Drosophila melanogaster: one gene and its partners. The gene in region 2 interacts genetically with the main gene of each other region. Each region holds a gene or a part of one and is shown on either strand. Other genes may lie near its edges.

Region 1 (7,930 bases), on a different chromosome or scaffold from region 2:
CGTTCAAAGATCCTGCTCTTGAGTATGGTGTCCTGGCTACTGAAGCACTCGCCACTGCCTACATCCGCCTGGCGAATCAGTTCACCCACCGCCGCACAACTAGAACCCCCGTAGCTGTATATGAGCAGACTGCGCTGATCCTGCGAGAAGGCCAACAGTTTTCTGCCATCCGGCGTAAACTTGCGCAGGTAGATCGGCGGAATGGTAATCGAGTCAATTGTCAGGCAAGGCGTGATGCACTTGTAGAAGAGACGCTCGTAGGCCAACAGCGGCATCCTGCCCGGCTGTTGGCCCACGTTGGTGTATCCGGACTCGCGGTTCTGCAGCAGATGCACGAGGTTCTGCGATTGTAGGCGCTTCTTGTAGGCCATTCTGACAGATCCTGGGAAAGTTCTGCCAAGTTCCTATTCCTAATGTCAGCCGGGTTCTTCTTCCGATCGGAAGGTAACTAAAGTAAAGTGTGACCGCAGTTAGATTACAAAAATTTACTCTGTCTACAAAAGTTTTGTTGTTAAAAAATATAAGTATAATAATAATAATATTAATGCTTTTCAAGATTCAAATAAAAAACGTTATTTATAAATAAAATAATTCAATACATCTTACTTTACTTTGTTTAAAAAAATGTGTAAATGAATTATCTATGAAAAGCAAATTTAGATTTATTTATTTTTTTTTTTAAATAAAATTATTCTTGAGTGCTTTTAAATGCTCTAAGTATATTATGTATTTCTGAACCATTAGCCTCTTTGATTACGACACCGTTTCATAAACATTTGATGTATAACATTACATATATTTTTTTAATTTTTATCATTAAATATCGTCAACTTTTAATTCCAAACTTGGTTTTACATCACCTCATCTTTAGCTTACACAAATCCCGCGCAAACGTTCTAACGGTTTTCAAAAAACAATGTATTTTTCGAAAATTTTCGGAATTTTAAATTACTATTTCACTTTATTCAGAGTCGAAATGTTCGCAGACATATAAATATACACATCTGTTAGGGATTACGTTGCCCATTCCAGTGACTGCCAAGCGGAGACTATAGTAAGCTTAGACATTGTAGCCTACAATGTGACGCTTGCCGATGCACTCGCCGATGTAGAACCAGAAGATGACCTCGGCGGTCACCAGGGTGTTAAGCCAGGCCTCGCGAACCGTGAGGTTCTTGTAGGCGCCGGTCTTGGCTCCCTTGATGATGTTGCCCAGTCCTTGGCGAATGGCCGGAATATCGGCGGGCGTCGGGGGCGTCAGTTCCACCTTGGCGTACTTCAGGAACACGTCCAGTTGGGGCCTCGCCTGTGTGAGGAGCCCTGCAAAAAGTGATCATTACATAATTTTGCGATTGACAGGCGCCAATGGTGGTGTATCCATTCGATTGCATTCGATTCACGACACTCACTGTTCACAAGTCCTGATCCCTTGGTAGCCAAACTCGCCATCTTTTCAATTTGGTTCTGCAAGCAGTTGGAATTATACAAGAGGAAATCAACGAAATGTGCGGAAAACTTACCTATTCAGTGTGCGACGAAACAGAGATGTTATGCATTGGGGCCAGGGCTGGAGCACTAGTTATCGATCGGCGGATAAATACCAAAAATACCAAATATACATTTCTAAAGTTAATGGAAGAAACTGCAAACAGTAATTTTAAATAACGTTAATAAAATAGCTTATTATGGATAATATAGAGTTAAAATAAAATAAAATAAATTGAATATATATTTATATTTAAAATATTTCATTCTATACAGTAAATAAACAATATGAAATGAGTTACTGAAAATTCCCTTGCAAAATTTATTTAAATATAGTAATTAAAATACATATTACATTTAATATAAAAATAACTTTTTCCCCACCGCATCGTGCAGTATATTTGTCTGATTTTCCGAAATGATGAATCCCTGCAGTATTTTCGAACCACAAAGCTTCGGTCACACTGCAAAGGTGTGGAAATCTTAGTTTCCACAAAACGAGCAAATATTTGCAGTTTTCAAGCCCCAAATTGGCTAATTAGAGTTCGCATCGGATCGAATTTGCCACCGAACCCCCGAAACGGAAGTGGCTGCTTAATGTTTGTTGTGGTGCCAGCCGCCAAACGAAAAGTGTGACGGGCGGTGAGTGTACGATATGCTGTAAAGTGAGGTGGACTGTGTAAAACTAAGCTGCGCCGTTCAAAACCAAAATCAAAATCGCAGCAGCCACTACGATTAGAAAGTGTGAGAGATACCTTTGTGTGTGCATTGTTGCGATTTAGTGCGAATGTTTCAGTGCGAAAATCTGAAAGAGTCAGCCGTTCCGTCCCACACATATGTATGTACATTTACTTGGGTGCTGCTGCTGCTGCGGTTCATGCGTGTGTGTGAGTGCGTGACGGTCTAATTTGCGTTGGTGGGAGGCCGCCGACGATATACGTATATGCACGTATGGAATAGGTGCCCACGTAAAGGCCCCAGGTCGTAGCACCCAGAAACTGCCACCGAAAAGGGGGGCATTATCGACTAATCTCGCCGGGACTGCAAGGTGCATCTTGCGGGGGTGACTTGGGCGTTACGCCCTTATCACCTCGCTGTGGGTATCGTTTCGTGGGGTGTGGTCCAGACGTCGAGTTCGTCAGTCGCGCATATCACAAAACAATTCAAATGGCATTTTGGTGATTGTAATGAACACGTCTCATGGATACATGGATAAGCGTCTCGTGAAATCTTCTGCAATACCATTCTGAGTCTTGTTCATAGACGGTTTAGTATAGTGATGACAAAATTTCTTTTAAACCAATTTTGATAGTATCCAATTAACTTTTTAAACGTCTACTTTTACGGGAAAATTTATAAACAAAGTTAAACGACAATTTGGGAAGTACAATTTTATCGGAATGAAATGTCTTCAATTGATAATCAGCATAAAAAGAAATCTTTTTATTATTGATCCCAATTTGGCATGAGATTATGTAGTAAATCAGTAAATAAAGGGTTTTATATTTAATTAATTTTAAATGCATTAATTCGTATTAAAACAATTTATTACTTATTAATGCCGTTTTCAGTCGATGAGGACGCACTAATTTACGGGTTTGCCAATTTGGAGATAATTGTCAATCGCGCCCGACCATGCCGCTGCCCAAACGATCCATAGAACCCGTGCATGTGGCCCGCTCCGTGTATCAGCAGGATGAGCTGCAATCCGTGGAGCTGGAGACGGTCACCAACACCACGCTGACGAACATCATTCGCCAGCTGTCCTCGCTGTCCAAGCACGCAGAGGATGTGTTCGGTGAACTGGCCCGCGACGTGGGCAACATCGGGGATCGAGCTAACTCCCTGCAGGCGCGCATCGATCGCCTAGCTATCAAAGTTACCCAGCTGGACAGCACAGTTGAGGAGGTGCCCTTGACGGACATTACCCGAAAGAAGGCCTTCAAGTCGGCCAAGGTTTTTGATCAACAGATCTTCTCGCGCGCCACCATGCCGGCACCAATGATGGACACATATGCCCAGTGCGACAAACCGCCGCCCCTCGACAAGCTTAATGTCTATCGAGACGATGGCAAGGATGGTCTTAAGTTCTACACGGATCCGAACTACTTCTTTGAGTTGTGGCGACAGGAGATGCTGAAGGATACCGAACGTGTGATGCACGACAAGGGCAAGAAGCTGAACAGACCGCGGCAGGATGGCGGTGCCGGCGGAGCTGCTGGACGTGGCAATAAGAAACAGAAGACCAAAATAAGGGTGCCGCACAATACGCGCGAACAGCAGCGACAACGTGCACTGGTGCACGGCGAAACATTGATGCCCAACAACGTCATCTACCGCACACCGAATTCCATGGTCAACGAAGAAGCCGGATACGGAAGTAAGTACTTGGCGAAAGGGATTGGTCTCCGTGTGAGCCAAGTATTCAGTGCGAACCAAATTCATAGGCTGTTATTGGTACGTTCGTTTCGCGCACTGACTATTTGCACTTGTCTTGCCTATTGAATGGTACATCTATTTTAATTATCAATTATGTCCTGTCTGCCCGTGTAGTTCAGCTAGTCAAAATACAGACTGTGGGCGAGGCTGACATCGATTTGCGGCATAGCACTCTCGATGCGCACCACCAAGTTGTCGGTAATATCCAAGACGTAGGTACGATGATGGGGCCACGTAGCTTTCATTTCCGCCCGGCAGACATCCCACGATACAGATGTACCCGCCATTCATTCACCTACTTCACTCAAAAGCTCGCTAGTTTTCGATGCGCCTCAAAACCCAGTTCGAAGATCACTAATTTGTATTATTTTGAAGTTGCTATTAATTGAAATTAACCCACACAATCATGACCCAGAGAAAGGTGACCGAAACAAAGTTTCCAGAGCTTAAAAAATAAATGAAATGGTACTTAACATAAATTCCATCTAAAGTTTGATTAAAATCTCAGATACAGGATATATTCGATCTAATTCATTATTATTACACCATTAGCAAAATGGTCTATGGCCAGTCTAGTTCATCCTCCTGTAAGTTAGCAAGACTTTCGAACTTGATTTGTCTCTAATTTGAATTCACTGACTTTGTTCCAATGAAGTTCGTCTTGTTGATGGTAAATACAATACGGTCAGAGAACCTTACAATTTCATTCTCCGAATGGTCGATTATTTTTCGCAGCTTTTATTTATTTGCATGTTGTTTTTATGAACTACTCTTTCGTTGTTTTCGGTTATGATATTAATGAACGTGAACATAAATATGCATTGCAATTACGAATGGATCAATCGCGCATAACCATCTCATTTACAGATACAGTAAAGCCTTATAATATGCTTTCGCATTTGGAGAATAACAGTAATGTCACCAAGCAAACCGCCGTTGCGATTGCAGGTTAGACATCCACATCCACTTTTAGCAAGCTCAGTAAAGACTATATATGTTCTTTCACTCGCTTCTATCCCCATATTACCTTACTAGCAATCCTTTTTGAGTTCCTTTAGCATTTGTGTGTACAGAGAACACTCTCTTTTTCAAACTATCAATCGGAATGGCGATGATTTATGAGTTTCATTGGTCATGCAAAGTGCAGATTTATTATCTCAAAACACTGTAAACTAGTCACCTTCTAACTTGCAATTTTAATGTAATGTGTGTGCACATTATATTTACAATGCATCTTGCATTTTGCATAATACTTTAATTCATTTCATACTCGCGATTCGTGATTGAGCCGCAGTTTTTGTTTAGGATCCTCCTATCTTTCTGTTGTAGTTCAGTCAATTTCCATATCTACGTCTACATGTCACTCTGCAGCTTTACTAATTCCTTTCTGTCGCCACATCTTATTCTACGAAAGTATCTCTAAATTGTTTTCTGTGCAACGAGCTAACAAAGACTTTTAATCGGATGTTTGTATATTCAACAAAATTTCTATTCGAGTCCAGCGGTCTCATATGCACAGAAATTTGGAATTGCTTGTAATTACATATGTGTCTTATTGTTCCTCGGCTGTAATTACAAAATAATTGGCGTGTTTTTAAATGAGATGTGTGTCCTGTAAAAACGTTCATTTTAATGGGTGGTTAGTCAACGGCTCTAATATCTCACATTCATTATTCTAGATATGGGAGTGTACGATACACGTCCGCCACGTCCTAACTCGATCGAATTGAACCGAAGCTATCAGTCGGAGCAGATCGATGGTAGCACCTACGAGCAGCTTCCACCGCAGATGGGTAATCAGTATGCTGCCACCTTCGGCAACGGCATGGGTGGCCCCCAGCAGATGCACATGCAGCATCAGCAGATGTATGACGCCGGAATGTATCAGTCGCATGCGCTGTACGGCCAAACTGGACAGGGAGTGATGTCGCCGGAGCCCATCTACGGACCGGGAACACCGTCGCGTAACAAACCGCGTCCGTCGCAGCCGCCACCGGCTCCGCCATCGAATGGCAGCGGTGGTGGTACGCCCACAGCCTCCAATGCCAACACTCCGACAAGGGGCAGAAGTATGTCGACCAGTCGGGATGCCTTGCCACCGCCTCCACCAGTTCCAGACGTCATTTCACCAATGTCTGGCATGAACGGAGTCAACAGCGGGCATATGGCGGCCAAACTGCTTGGCCGGGCGAACAGTTCGTCGGGAGCTGGATCTCCCAACAGCGTCCAGAATGCCAATGATATGGTCATGACGCAACTGAGCAATACTTTCCACAGCATCGGTATGACGGGCAATCAACTGAACTCCCTTAGCGACTTGCCGCCACCGCCGCCGGTTCCAGATCAGGTTTGTTGTTCACTGATGGGTGTTAATATATCACAATTTGGTTTAATTTGTGGCAAAACCTTACAGCACTCGCCTAAGATGTCGCCACCTAATGCCGCGCCACCACCGCCGCCGCCACCGCCTCCAGTCGAGGAAGGCATGGGCAGTGGCAACCAACACACGCTGCGCCCGCATCAAATTCTTCCCAAATCACTGGCCAATGGCGAAATGCAGCAGCCCGGCCAACAAAATGGTGTGCCTCACATTGTCGCACCCAAGAAGATGCTGCCTCCATTCCATGACCCACGCAACGACTTGATGAAGGCCATTCGAGATGGTAAGTAATTGCCATTCAAGGTTCGAATGCAAAAATATCATCAAATTAATCTTTCCAGGTATTACTCTACGTAAAGTTGAAAAGTCAGAGCAAAAGGAAATTGAACGAAACGCGGCGCCATTGGATGTGGCTTCAATCTTGGCCAGACGTGTGGCTATCGAATTATCCGAGTCCGAGGATTCGGATAGCGAAGACGACAGCGAGGGCTGGATGGAACCGAACGAAACATCGGCTTGATCCCTGATTAACTCGTTAAAGCCTGACATAATTCTAAAAAACAAAAAGAAGAAGTAATTCCAAAGAGAATTAATCCATACGATGGTCGAAACCAAGCGTGGTATGAAATTGGATTACACAAAAGCACCAAAGCTTTTCTACCACCCTTTATACAATATACACCTAATCCTAAATAATATGTCTAAAATCAAAAGTTTCATTGAATTGTATATACACCAACGAGTAATTATCGTTAAATTAATCGCTATAGTGAACGAACGCATTTGCATTTTAAGCCTAGACGACAATCCAAGGAAAGCGATTTAAAAGACTTGCTAATTTTGTTCGCTTCTTTGGAGTCAAGGTCTGAGTAGATATGGGCTTCTGTATCATAGTAGTCGGTGTTTGGATATTAAATTATAAATAATCGATATTATCACTGAACTCAATCCTACCCCAACTTGCAATCGATACGATTAATATAAAACATTTATCCAAAATGAAAATTTAGAATTTTGTAAATACAAACACATTAAAATATATCGAACTCCGTAGCATTTCAGTATACTCAACAAGCTATGAAATTGTATTATCCTTGTGAAAGTTAAATACCTGTATAATTAATAAAATATGTTTCACGAATATAAGCAGCCATGAATGTGTGGTTAAGTAAGCAAACATGGATGTATGTAATTTTTCTTTACATAAACTAAAATATACAATAAAAAATAAAGTAATTATATTCCAAATTAATGAACATGTCTTGATAGATAACTTTAAATGTTTGTTTGGGAATTTCCTCTGGTCTTATGCTTAAATACCAGAATCTTAATCCTCAATTTTGCTTTTGTTTGAAAAAAGAGCAGTAATGCATTTCAAATACAAAATATTTAGTCATAAATGCTGAAGTGCTTAGCAAAAGTAAGAAAGTATTGAAAAAGTATAAATGTCTGGGCTAGTTTCATATATGGCCTCTTAGTAAGGATTAATACTCCATTCTAAATTATATCCAATTATAGATAATAAAACTTCTTTTCGAGCGCGTTTTGCGGAATAGAGTGCAAGTTCGTACCCACGAGGGTAGCTAGCTTCTTAGCGTACTGGCAAACTGCTGGCACTCGTGTGGT
Region 2 (4,639 bases):
CTACTCGGCCTTGCGCTGTTGTTGCAGAAAGAACTAGACATATCCGTATTTTCTGATTTCTTATTAGCCGCAGTTCGGCTTCTAGTTCTTATAGATGGCATTTCCTCGACGAGAAAGGATTTCGGAGTGCTGGTGCTTCCGGCCATTTTGCCTATCCCATTGAACAGGCTTCTTCGCGGCGTTAATCCGTTGACATCAGGAAATATTCCAGACGATTGACTAGGCCTGGTGACTGCCAGTCGTGGGCACTGTATGCTTGGCTCCTGTGGAGAATCTTCCACAGCTACGGAAATAGCCAACCATGATCCCTTCCCAGTCTCTTTTCCCCGACTGAGGGACACTGCTACAGGGATATTGGTGTCCACTTCCCGCAGAGCCCGTCCACTGGGCGTGACGGTGACTTGGGCGTTTGGCGGACTACTTTCAAACGTTGTGTCGCAATAGATGGCCTCGCATGATGATGACGAGTCTGTGGACTCCCCTTCACTGCCATTTTCCTCTATAATGCTAAACAGACGATTGTTCTCTTCATTTTGCTCAGTCTGTGTCTCCTCCACGGGGCTTACTGCTTCGTCGAAATCATCGTCCGAGTCGTCCTCATCAAACACTAATTCCGCTGGTCTTCGTGGCGGTGGTGTAGGCTGTACTCAAGCCGATAATGAATCGTTAAGAAAAGCATAATCAAATTTAAGTATAAGTTACCTTGTTGGCTCTTCTATCCTCTGGTATCCTAGTGGTCACCACCTCGGACTGCACTTCTGCGCTGGAGCGGCGACTAGTGGACGATACAGTACTGGTCACTGAGGAAGATCTTCTTGGCGAGATTGGTCTGGTGGTGCGGGCCAACGCACACGTCCGTCGCATGTCCTTGCAGATTTCCCTGGAGCTGCGACGCGGGCCGCTTGGTCTGTTTATCTGAGCTGCGGGAGCGGGCTCCTGACGCACTGCCAGGGAATCGGAGTCCACGTTCAGGCTCAGCATCAGGCTGCGTACGATACTGATGTTCTCCATGCGCTGGCGATGGTTTTGCAGGACGTGCTCCTCCCGAATGTCCATGATCTCTCGCTCCAAAGATATCACCCGCTTCCTGTACTCGCCGATCTCCAAGCGCTGCTTCTGCACTTGGTCCATTAGCTCCGCATTCAGCAGCTTGTACTGCTGCTCCACTTTGGATCCCATTTGCTTCTTCTGATCTACTTATTCCATACACAAAATCCAGACAGACGACGCCAATAGCTTGTTTTGAATTTTGAAATAGAGTGACCGTTGTTGTGCTATTGGAATATACCCCAGCTTAAGGAAAACTTTTTGAAAGTATGGCAACGCCGACCATGCTCTTAATTAAAATGAAATTCTTTAATTTTGGGCCATATATATAAGAAACAATACAATCCGATGTGAATATATTTTATTTTAATAATTATAAATTTGTTTGTCTCATTTGCACGACAAGAATTAGGAACCGTTGAGTTGGTGCGAATTTGATCGTACATGCGTTACCAAGGGTAATTTTCCATTTAAATTCTACACGTATGCCAAAATGCTAAAATTTCGCTTAGTGGAAGCTGTGTATATTGCGGGACACCGATTTCGATAGGCACAAACCATCGAGAGACATCGATACGTCTATGTTTCTCTTACACCTCTAAGCTGCACAATAAATTTATTGTTTTCTCGACCGATTGCGAAGAAAATCTGGATATCCGTGGTAGATAAACAATGCTGCAGCGCTAGAACCCGGAAATCGAAGTGAATACGCGTTTCGGGAGGTTGTAGATACACCTTGCAGAACGCGAAAATCGCACTGAATCAGAAGTCAGCCCACCTGGCAGTGTGTGCGTGCGTGTACGTGAGTGAGAGTGTGCTGTCGCAGTGTGCGTGTGTTTGTGTAAAAATGAAAATCAGTCGGATTTGTATCGTCGTTGTACGTCTTTTAGGCATTTAGCCAGGCTTTTACACATTTCTACAATTCTTACCAACAGTGGGAGGGACTTTCCCCCCGCACTCACAGGACACGATACACATCACATGCAACACCTGTGCACTCGAAAAACGATAGACGGATCTAGCGCGCGGATTAACTTAACTTAGGAACACGGATACGGATTATACACCATAGTTTCGGAAAAATACATTAGGGAACCGCTTGCTATGCTGTTTCATCTCCGCCAGAGAATCACGACAATCACCTGCTGAAACACCGAAGACAGCCAGCAGCCCAGAGAACCGAGAATTTCATTCACAGAAGCTACGACCGCAGTCGAAAACCGAAACCCGCTTCAAGGTGAGTCTGTTTGTAAATCCAACTCGTTTGGCTTTGTACCCATTTAGTCGATTGAGTGCATCACTCAGCACTCAGAATCCGAAGTGGTACGGACTTATCGAGCGACCTTATCAATTCTATTTCGCACGGTGCCCAGAAATTTGGTAATTTATGGCAAGTTCAGGAACCTCTTCGGTACCAGTTCCATGTAGGCAATTATCTTATCGCGCCCTCCGACAATTTCGCCACGATATTTGCGACTAATGGTTGTGTGTATGTAAAATTGCATTTTCCAAGATATGGGGCTATATCTTATAGCCTCGAGGTACACAATAAACAAACACATACCAGCGTTAGTAGGCAGCTGTATTTAGACTTTTTATAATATTTATTCATATGTCCATATTCCAGATTAATCACCATTATTTGCATATATTCTAAGTATAGCCGACAGTCCATGTCTTGCCCGATTTGATTTAATATTTGAGCTTGCATGAAATTTATTTTTTCCTGTGTCGGAGAACACGAAAAGCCTTTTCCACCGTCTAACCGGCTAAAAGGGGTGCAATAAACTCGGGTCGCTTTGATTTTCTCCTGTTCCGTCAGCGAATGCACTTTGTTTTGGTTTGTTGTCGCTTTGTCTTAATCACATTAAGCAAAACGCCCGGGCACGCGACGCATGACGACACCAAGTGTTGCAACACCAGCGAAGACCCATGGAGCATGTGGCCACCCATGCCACCCCATAACTGACCTACAAAGAGTGCATTGCTCGACGGCCGACGAAAACTAAATTCGCTGACTAGGGGTTGATTCATTCGCTTGGCTCCCTTCAGCGATGTGAGTGCGAATTGTGGCGGTTGAACTTCGATGGTATGACATAATCTGGGCTCTTACTATAGCCATTTGAAGAGGCATACAATCGCAATCTTTACATTAGATTTATTACTTGTAGAGTTAGTCACAAGTTTTAGCTTAAGCGTGCAACTTCTGGTGTCGTGGTACCGGTGTCCGGGTTCCAGTTGTCCAGCACTCCCATTAGCTGAGCAACGAATATCTGATAGTCGAGGAACGTCTTGTTTATATTCTCATTTCTAAAATGCTTTACTACTCTGCGATGGTGGAAAACAGATATCAAAACATTGAAATACAAGACTATAGAAGTTGTTATAAGTAATTTCTTTTCTCTGTACCGAAAATAACCCTCGTGGCCAATTTAGTGCGCTCTTTAAACCATCCACAAGTGTGAATGGGCTTCGAGCTCCTTTCCGTAATGCTATGCATGGCACAAAGGGTCGTCCCAGTCGCCGGGTTCAATGTCATTGGCGTGGCGTAGGCCATGGCAGCGGTGGGCACATGGCACCGACCCATCCCAACGTCCCATTCCATGGCATCCCGTCCAGGAGTCTGCCTGCTGCCGGTCTATTGTCGAGGCTGTTGTGCATGCCCCACTGCAAGTACACACAGAAATATCGAGTGCTGCTGCAGTGACACACGCAAAGACTGGTGATTGAAGGGAGGGTGGAGGTGAAGGTGTGTGGGGCACGGGGTGTGGATATGGGGTTTTATGGCCACGGGGAGTGGGCACTTGTCGGCCTTGTGTGCGGCCATTTGTCAGTCGAATTGGCTGTCGTGCATTTTTCGAGCACTGCATCACACGAGGTCTGATTGGCACGTAGTAGAGAGAGAGAGTCGGTCGTTTCTGTCAGCCTTTATGACGCTGAATTATGCTGCACTTCCTTGTGCAACCTGGAACTGAATCATAAAACTACAGTGAGCTCTCCAGCACACCGATTTCTGACTACAGTTTCGAGCCCCATGCCGAGGGCTTTCGCTTCCTCGGTGCCCCGGTGACTCATAGTTTGTGTTTGACTTGTGTTCACATCACATTTGCAGTTGCACTGCGAACACTCCTCTCTCTCAATGTGCTTTAAGCATGAAAGTAATTTTTTTGAAAGTGATTCAATGTTCAAAGAGGAAGACCAACTTCCCATTTCGAATCTTATCCGACTAAAAAATGAATTGGCACATGAGGATGTTTAGCTGAGTATTTATTTCTTAGGCACTTAGAATGACCGGGTTGTTGTTTCTAAGAGCTGTTAGTGGCTCTTTTTTTCCATGTGTAGTGTATGCAAACTAGCGAACCCAACACCGTTGTTGTCATTGAGTTCATCGTTGTCTCGTCTCGACTCTCATGATGTGTTTACATTAGTTATTTAAGCATTGTGCGACGGTGCTGAAAACCGCATTTTAATAGACCCGCCGGCAACAACGGGCTTAGCAACTGAAACAGCCACATCAAGTGCAACAATGCAATATTTATCTGTAAGCAAATATGGGCCTTACATCACACACGCGCAGCAAGCGCTGATGAGG
Region 3 (7,619 bases), on a different chromosome or scaffold from region 2:
TTTATTGGTTGGGCTGCCACTGGCAATAGTATTTTCGACTAGAGTATACTTTAAGTTAACTAATCTAAAACAAACAGCTTAATCTAGAAGAACGGCTTGCACAAGGCAATGGTGTGATCCACTCCGTAGGCCACTTTGGTGACCTTTCCGTTGATGGCCGCCTTAAAGGGAAAGAACTGGTCCTTCTTGTGTCCCAGCCCCAGATGCCCGAACCTGTTCTTGCCCCACATGAAGAGATCTCCGTCCGAGTTGACGGCGCCCATGTGAAACACTCCGCATCCGATGGAAACCACTGTGGTTTCGTTGCTGAAGTCATTTCGTCCGAATAAAGGCGGCAACAGATGCTGCGGCTTGGATGTTTGCTCCACGAAGGGTCCGAAGCCGAGGATGCCAAAGCCCCAGGTGTACACCAGACCCTGGTCGTTGAGGGCCATGCAAAATGAGCCTCCCGCAGCCACATCCTTGATTTTCCCGATGGACTTCGTTAGTTTGAGAGCTCTAGGGATATTTATTTGGGTTTCGGCCAGCTCTGAGTCATCTAGCTGTCCGTACTCAGAATTGCCCCAGCCAAAGGCATCGCCCGCCTCGTTAAGGGCCAAAACGCAGTCCGAGGAGCAGCTGAGCCGCACAATCTTCTCCTTTTCCACATCTCCTCCAATCAGGGTTATCTGCCCGGCGGTGTGGTAGTTTCCCTGACCTGTTTGACCATCCGCACCCCAGCCACATGTGTAAATGCGTCCCTTTTTGGTAAGAAACATGCTGTGGTCCTGGCCGCACTCCACCTGGACCACCTCATCCTCCTTGCCGCATATATCTTCCTGCGATATCCTGTGGATCAGGGCACTCTTGCTGTACCGCTCCTCCTCTATGATGGAGCGGCCACATTGGCCGTACGAATTGTTTCCCAGGGTGAAAATGGTTCCGTTTTGGGTCAGAACCACCAGGTGAGCTCTACCCGCCGACATGCTCTTCACACGCATGTCCTCGTCTGTTTCTCCCTGAACTCTCGGCAGTTTAATGGCTGTAGGATAAATGATCACGTCAAGGTTGGCCGGATCATTGGGATTTCCCTTCACCTGGAAACCCAGTTGGGAGTCGGTGTTCAAACCGCTGCCAAAGAGCGTCTCTCCGTCATCTCTATTCACGGCGTAGACCGTGAACCCGTAGCCGGCGGCCACATCCGTGATTTCGTTGTTGTTGGAGAACTGCAAGCGGGTGGGATGGTGCACCATCTCCGTGTAGCGTTCCTTGGCCTTCTTCACGTTGGTCTGGAGACCGAGAGCGCCGGTTTCCTGAAAGCCCCACACGTAAACTCGGTGCTCATGGCTGTCCGTCGTCTTCGGTGAGTACTCCTTGATCTTCGACTTGTCCTGCGCCAGCACACCCCTCTTCGCCTTGGCGGTGTACGACCTGCTGATGCCAAGCACAATACCCCGAGTTTTCAGCATGGTATTTCGGGTTAAACCAACCATGTAATCCAAAATCATAACAAAAACGCCACCCGATATCGATAGACCCGATGACCGGACAAGTGCTGCACAGCGCGCAACGTGCTTATCGATAGTTCGCTAAGAAAAACCGCTGATACGCCACCTGACAGCCCTGGTCGTGGTCAATCGCTATCGCCTTCCGCACATCGAAATCGGATGGGCGACGTGAAAGAAACGGCTCCGGCAAAATCATTAAAATTTAATTAGTTAACCGCAAGAGAGCGCTGCAAAATTGTGCAAACAATTTGCCACTTAACGCAGTTAACGTGTGCGGTAATCAGAAGCGTGGAAAAGCGTTTATTTGTCAGGATTTGTGTGTTTTTCAATCGCGGCAGCAGCATATGTACACACACACAGGCTCACCCCCGCCCCACTCACACACACACACTCACGCCTAGGTGTATTATAATTAAAGTTGTGTTTTAAGTGTGTGTAAAGTGCAATAGCCCAGTGGAAAGTGGAAGTGATATAGAGTGCGTTCCAGGAGTTCCAGGAGCAGTGTCTTATCCCATGTCTTCCACTCCCAAATCCTGAGGATTGCCAAGGGTTAAGACCGAGAAATACGGACTCCGACTTTCCGGATAAGGATACGGATACGGATAAGGAGTGCCAGGATAAGGAGATCCAGGAGGAATATAGGAGTTGCCAGTCCAACCGCTTCGTCTCCGGTAGGTACACACAAAATATTCGGCTGCTCCTTTTTAGCTCCTGTTCGAATCTCTCACGGCTCTCTCTCTCGGCTCTCTCTCTCTCTCTCTTGACCTGCGCTCTCTCTCTTTATCTCGCCCTCGTCACCTGGTGGTGCGTAGTCCTTTGGCTCGGTCCACCACCCGCCCAGTGGGCGGTGCTGCAACCCTTAGCCCTCCGCTTTCCATCACCTTTTTTTGGGTAACCATGGTCGTGTTTACGGCAAACTGTGCCACCGATATATATGTGTGTACATATGTACCCTTTCCCTTGTCTAGATAGATGAAACAGATAAATCGTGAAGATGCTTCACTTACCATAAATCTATAATATGTTCATTGCTCAAATACTACTATAGTAGGTACTTGTGTTTTTCAAAAGCCTGTGCCAGGTACAAAAGCTTGTACTCTTAACAACACTGGGAACGAGTCCTGCCATCCTTTGCAGGACGAGAAGTCCACCCTCTCGCTGCCAAAAAGCCACCACCTCGCAGAGATTTTGCGCAGCATCTCTAAACGAAACGGCCGGCAAATGTCGCAAACTCCCTCGGCAACAAAAGCCAAAAAAAAAATACAAAATACAAAAAACAAAACCGAAACCGAAACCCCATTCGAATCCCATTCCCCAGCAAAAGCATCTACTTAATCAACCCGGGCGGGAGTGGACTCCCAGCTCCCTGAATGAGTGATCTTATGTAAACAGGCTGCCCTTTGCCTCCCACGCCCCGAGATCCAGATAAGAGTGCCCCACTTTCAGTTCCTCCATGGCTGCCCCATCCATCCACCGAAGTCGTAACTCAATGTTATAGACCCAAATGCTCCCGTTTCGGGGCCACCAATTCGTTCGTGATGGCTTTTCTTGGGGACCAATGACTATACTCCCTCGTCTGGAACCGATCTTCAACCAATACACAGACACAGCACGGGGAAACAAACTTTCCGCCTCATAAACTTGTGGGCTTGTCCCCCAAGCACGTGCAACTCTTTCTTTCTCTCAGCGAAAAGACGAACTGCTGTCAGGAAAACAATGAACGAGTGCACCGGAAAAAAACATAAATGTTTGTCATACGGGAAGCTAAGAAATCATACCACAAAGAATTCTTTAAAAATATATATTCATTTATTGCAGTAGCAGTAGGGAATCTTATCAAATCATAGTTCATAATATATTTTTTGACAATTTCTCCGCGCTAACGAACTTATCAGCAAGTTCCTTCCGATTTCTTCGGATTTTATCAGCAGTGTAATGTCAATGTCTCGGCTGTTGGGCTTATGCAAGCGCAAACAATAACAAAACAATCACCAAGCCAAAGAAATCCAAACACCGATCCGAATCCAACGGTGGTGCATTTCAGTTCATTGGCAGCCAGCCAGCCAGCCAGGCGTTTCATGTTTACCAAGTCCCCAAGCGAACCGAACTGAACCGCCCCCTTATCACTCCAGCATTTGCATAAATATAATCTTTTTCGGGTTCTTTCTCCGTTTCTATCTGGGTTCGGTTACGGTTTCACTCCCGCTTTCTCCTCTCAAAAAATAGGGAAAACACACAGACAATTCGCACAACAGTGAATCACTTTGCGACCAATGCTTCGGTTAAACAGGTACTTCTCCGTATCTCTAGCTAACGCAAAAACCTTTGACTAATCGATGGTAAAGTAAACAAAAACACTCGTTATCACATGGAGATTATTATGGCCAAAATTCGAACAGGAAGCACGATTAGAAGTTTACCGGCAAAACAAATTTATGCATTGCCTGCATTTCTTATTATATACGTATGGGTCAGTTGCTAATAGATATTGCACCGAAATGCCAGAATTGAATGGCATTAGAGCTCTCGAAAACACTTTCAGCTGACTCAGCCTCTCGTGTATGACCTAACAGTCATTGAAAAGCGAAACCAAGATTGGCCTAGAGTCAAAGACCGAGTAGAGCGTTTTCTCAACGTGGCCCACACTTATTGATTTTTAATTATCCAAAGATGGCCCTCGGCTATGACATTGACTTTGATTTTGTTGGCTCGCCAACCTGGCCAACGAACTCGGGAAGCCTCTCTAGAGATCTCTGGCCGAAATAACCTTCTGTGCCGCCCGCTAACTGCCTTATGTCACTCGGTAAATCTCGGTTAAGAAACCAATTTCCCAATACCCCCGACCATTCACGTTCGTGACTCATTGCGGTCGAATGTCTCAGTTGATTTCTGTGTCTTTCTTGGCCTGAAATGGCCCGGATTTTGAGTCTCTGGTTCTCCAGCCTCGGTGAGGCTGCCCCGTTGAACAAATCAATACCCGATGGCCACTTATTCGCTCGCCTGGCAATTGGATTCAATTGAGTGGAGTCAGTCGGAGGCAACTTTCACTTGCACAGATTTTAATTGCCCCACAACTGGAATGGCCAGATCCCTCAGCCCCCATATCCATCTCCCGCTCATATTATCATCATCATGATCATCACAACACAAACACTTCACTCATTCATCTTCATCGCCGGCTCGCTGACCCCAAAAACAAACATTCATCTCTCGGCTAATTTTGAGTTGATTTCCTATTTGGTATTTCGAGTTTGAGTACTTGCATTGTATTTTTTAAGCTAATCATTTTTACGCTCTTTAGCTTCTTCAGTGCGAAACAATTAAGCCTAATTTGCATATATCATTTGCTCTCTTTTTCTTTCTTTCTTCGTTCGTTGCTTATGTTATTGCGTTGCTTATGTTTACTTTGCCACGCCTACGCTTCCGCCCACGCTCACGCCCATTCGCCCCCTGAAACCACGCCCACAGCAATTATGCATTGGCTAGAGGCGATTTGCAGCAAGCTTAGAGTGCCAGCGAGCAACTGCAACACATAACCAAACCATCAAAGACTTGTTGTTCATCAACTCCAACCCCAACTCCAAGTCCACCAACACTGAGCCACCGCCTCTTGCCTCCAGGAGCATCACCAGGAGCATCAGGGCAGTCCCAGCTGGAGGAGCAGGAATCCCCCCGCGGCGGAGGAGCAGCCAGTCTGGAATGTTGGAACACCCCCAGCGGTTTGTGCGCAACATCCCCGACTCCTCAGCCAGTTCGCAGCAGTATCCGCAGCAGCAGCAGCATCCGCCACAGCTGCCGCAGCACCAGAATCTGAATCTCAACCAGAATCAGAACCTGAACCAGAATCAGATCTACCAGTACCGTCCCCAGGTGCCCGTGCCCGTTCCCGGCTCACCTGCCCATCACCAGCGGCACTCTTCGCTCTCCCAGCAACAGCAGTTGCACCACCACCGCACCCTGTCCACCGCCTCCTCCTGCAGCGCCCAGCACAAAAGTGTGACCTTCGGCCAGCCAGCGCTCGACTGCGGCGGCAACGGCAGCGGAAGCGCCAACGGAAGCGGTAGCGGCAACTCCTCCAGTGGCAGTGCCGCCGGCAACGCTGGAACCCAATCAATGGCGGGCAACATGAAGCACGGTGAGCAACTGCAACACAATAACCTCACAGCGAGAAGAGCATTGGGTGTAGTAAAAGGATCTAGGATTTGTATGCTAATGAATTTGTGGTTCTATCATACTGGCCCATTTTGCTTTTCTAACTGTGTGTGCACTTGGTACTCTTCTAACCTGTTCCTGTTAATCACTCCGCAGGCAAATCTCAGGACGACGTCTGCTACGTGGTAGCCAAGTACGACTATGCGGCGCAGGGTGCCCAGGAGCTGGATCTGCGCAAGAACGAGCGCTACCTGCTGCTGGACGACTCCAAGCACTGGTGGCGCGTCCAGAACAGTCGCAACCAGTCCGGCTACGTGCCAAGCAACTATGTGAAGAAGGAGAAGCCCTCGCTCTTCGACAGGTGCGTCAGATTCCTGGCCCGACTAAACCTAAGCGTTCTTCTTGCTCTGATTTCAGCAGAATTAAGCCCTCTATACCTGTATCTGTATCCGTATCCGTAGATGTATCTGTATCTCTATCGCGTTCAAATACCCGCCTCCACCTTTTGCTTTGGCTATCGTAATTTAACTTATAACTGCTTTCGGCTTTTGTATTTTGTATTTCAAAACAACAAATTCGTTTTGATTTCGTTGTCTGTCGAGCCCCACTTGCCCCTAAAAACTAAAGATCCACTAACACCCAAACCAACTAGGGCTAGTCTAACCCACTTTAAACCGCCAATGAAATCTAACCATAAAACTTCATCCCAATACTGATCGTGAATATTTTGATTTACGATTTCTGTGCAGCATTAAGAAGAAGGTGAAAAAGGGCTCCGGATCGAAGACACTGCCTAATTGTTCGCCTTCGCGACAGGTCGAGAGTCCAACCATGTCGCGCCGACTTCCCCCAGATCCCGCAGAGGCCATCGGAACGGCTGTGGTCAAGTATAACTATCAGGCCCAGCAGCCCGATGAACTTTCGCTGACCAAGGGCACACGAATCCTCATCCTGGAGAAGTCCAACGATGGATGGTGGCGTGGACAGAGCGGCAATTCCGTCGGCTGGTTCCCCAGCAACTACACAACGGAGGATTGTGATAACGACGGCGAGATCCACACCTACGCAATGGCCGAGAACGTGCTTGATATTGTGGTGAGTAACTGGACGTGTTCTCAAAATAAACATTCACATCATCTATGAGAGGTTGTCATTATTGGCTAATAACAACTATTTTCAAATATATAGGTCGCGCTGTACAGCTTCACGTCAAACAACGACCAGGAGCTCTCGTTCGAGAAGGGCGATCGCTTGGAGATCGTGGATCGGCCCGCCTCCGATCCGGACTGGTACAAAGCTCGCAACAATCAGGGCCAAGTCGGTTTAGTTCCACGCAATTATCTCCAAGAGTTGAACGACTACCTGGCCACGCCCTATCGTAATGCGAGTGCCAGTGCAGGAAACGGAAATGGAGGAGGAAGTAATGGCGGCGCAGGTGGTGGCGGAGGAAACGACTCCATGGAGCGGCGCAATGAGGGTAATAAGCCGGCGGCGCAATCTTCCGGCCAGCCAATCGAGCGGCCAAATCTGGCGGGCAAGTCGTGGTATTATGGAGCCATCACCCGCAGCCAGTGCGACACGGTGCTCAACGGCCACGGGCACGATGGCGACTTCCTCATCAGAGACAGTGAGACTAACGTAAGTGGAATTCGCAATTGAAGTGCCATAACATAGTTCCGCCCGAATTCTTTGAGAGTGTATAAACGAATTCATCCTTTCTTGCAGATGGGAGACTATTCGGTTTCGTTAAAGGCCCCAGGGCGCAACAAGCACTTCCGCGTGCACGTGGAGCAGAACATGTACTGCATTGGGCAGAGGAAGTTCCACTCGCTGGACCAACTGGTCGATCACTACCAAAGAGCGCCCATCTACACGAATAAGCAGGGCGAAAAGCTGTATCTGGTGCGATCGCTGCCGAAGGCCAATGGCACGTAAGCAGGTCCAGGACTGGAGCAGAGAAATCTCAGCATTCATATTACC

Evidence for each region. Genes that interact genetically often act in the same process or in processes that back each other up.
Region 1: of Vrp1 (region 2) and SCAR, changing one enhances a phenotype caused by changing the other (phenotypic enhancement), as found in Drosophila melanogaster (2 studies listed by BioGRID).
Region 3: of Vrp1 (region 2) and dock, changing one enhances a phenotype caused by changing the other (phenotypic enhancement), as found in Drosophila melanogaster (one study listed by BioGRID).

The regions. Positions count from the first base shown.
Region 1 is NT_033779.5:10,974,842-10,982,771, forward strand, and holds SCAR (SCAR), read left to right. Parts: upstream 1-1,930; 5' UTR 1,931-2,229; intron 2,230-3,056; 5' UTR 3,057-3,120; coding exon 3,121-3,865; intron 3,866-4,038; coding exon 4,039-4,140; intron 4,141-4,791; coding exon 4,792-4,872; intron 4,873-5,603; coding exon 5,604-6,271; intron 6,272-6,337; coding exon 6,338-6,587; intron 6,588-6,645; coding exon 6,646-6,824; coding exon of another isoform or gene 6,825-6,881; 3' UTR 6,882-7,554; downstream 7,555-7,930. Other genes in the region: abo (abnormal oocyte), read right to left, coding at 1-371; ATPsynG (ATP synthase, subunit G), read right to left, coding at 1,061-1,320, 1,410-1,449; piwi (P-element induced wimpy testis), read right to left, coding at 7,817-7,930.
Region 2 is NT_033778.4:22,119,538-22,124,176, reverse strand, and holds the start of Vrp1 (verprolin 1), read left to right. Parts: upstream 1-1,614; 5' UTR 1,615-2,284; intron 2,285-4,639. Other genes in the region: mei-S332 (meiotic from via salaria 332), read right to left, coding at 1-641, 703-1,179.
Region 3 is NT_033779.5:824,350-831,968, forward strand, and holds the start of dock (dreadlocks), read left to right. Parts: upstream 1-1,619; 5' UTR 1,620-2,158; intron 2,159-4,955; exon of another isoform or gene 4,956-5,107; 5' UTR 5,108-5,186; coding exon 5,187-5,622; intron 5,623-5,795; coding exon 5,796-6,000; intron 6,001-6,388; coding exon 6,389-6,734; intron 6,735-6,827; coding exon 6,828-7,277; intron 7,278-7,364; coding exon 7,365-7,574; 3' UTR 7,575-7,619. Other genes in the region: CG3862 (uncharacterized protein), read right to left, coding at 84-1,448. UniProt on the Drosophila melanogaster protein: Adapter protein that links cell surface receptor tyrosine phosphorylation to downstream signaling pathways and effectors, many of which are involved in regulation of the actin cytoskeleton.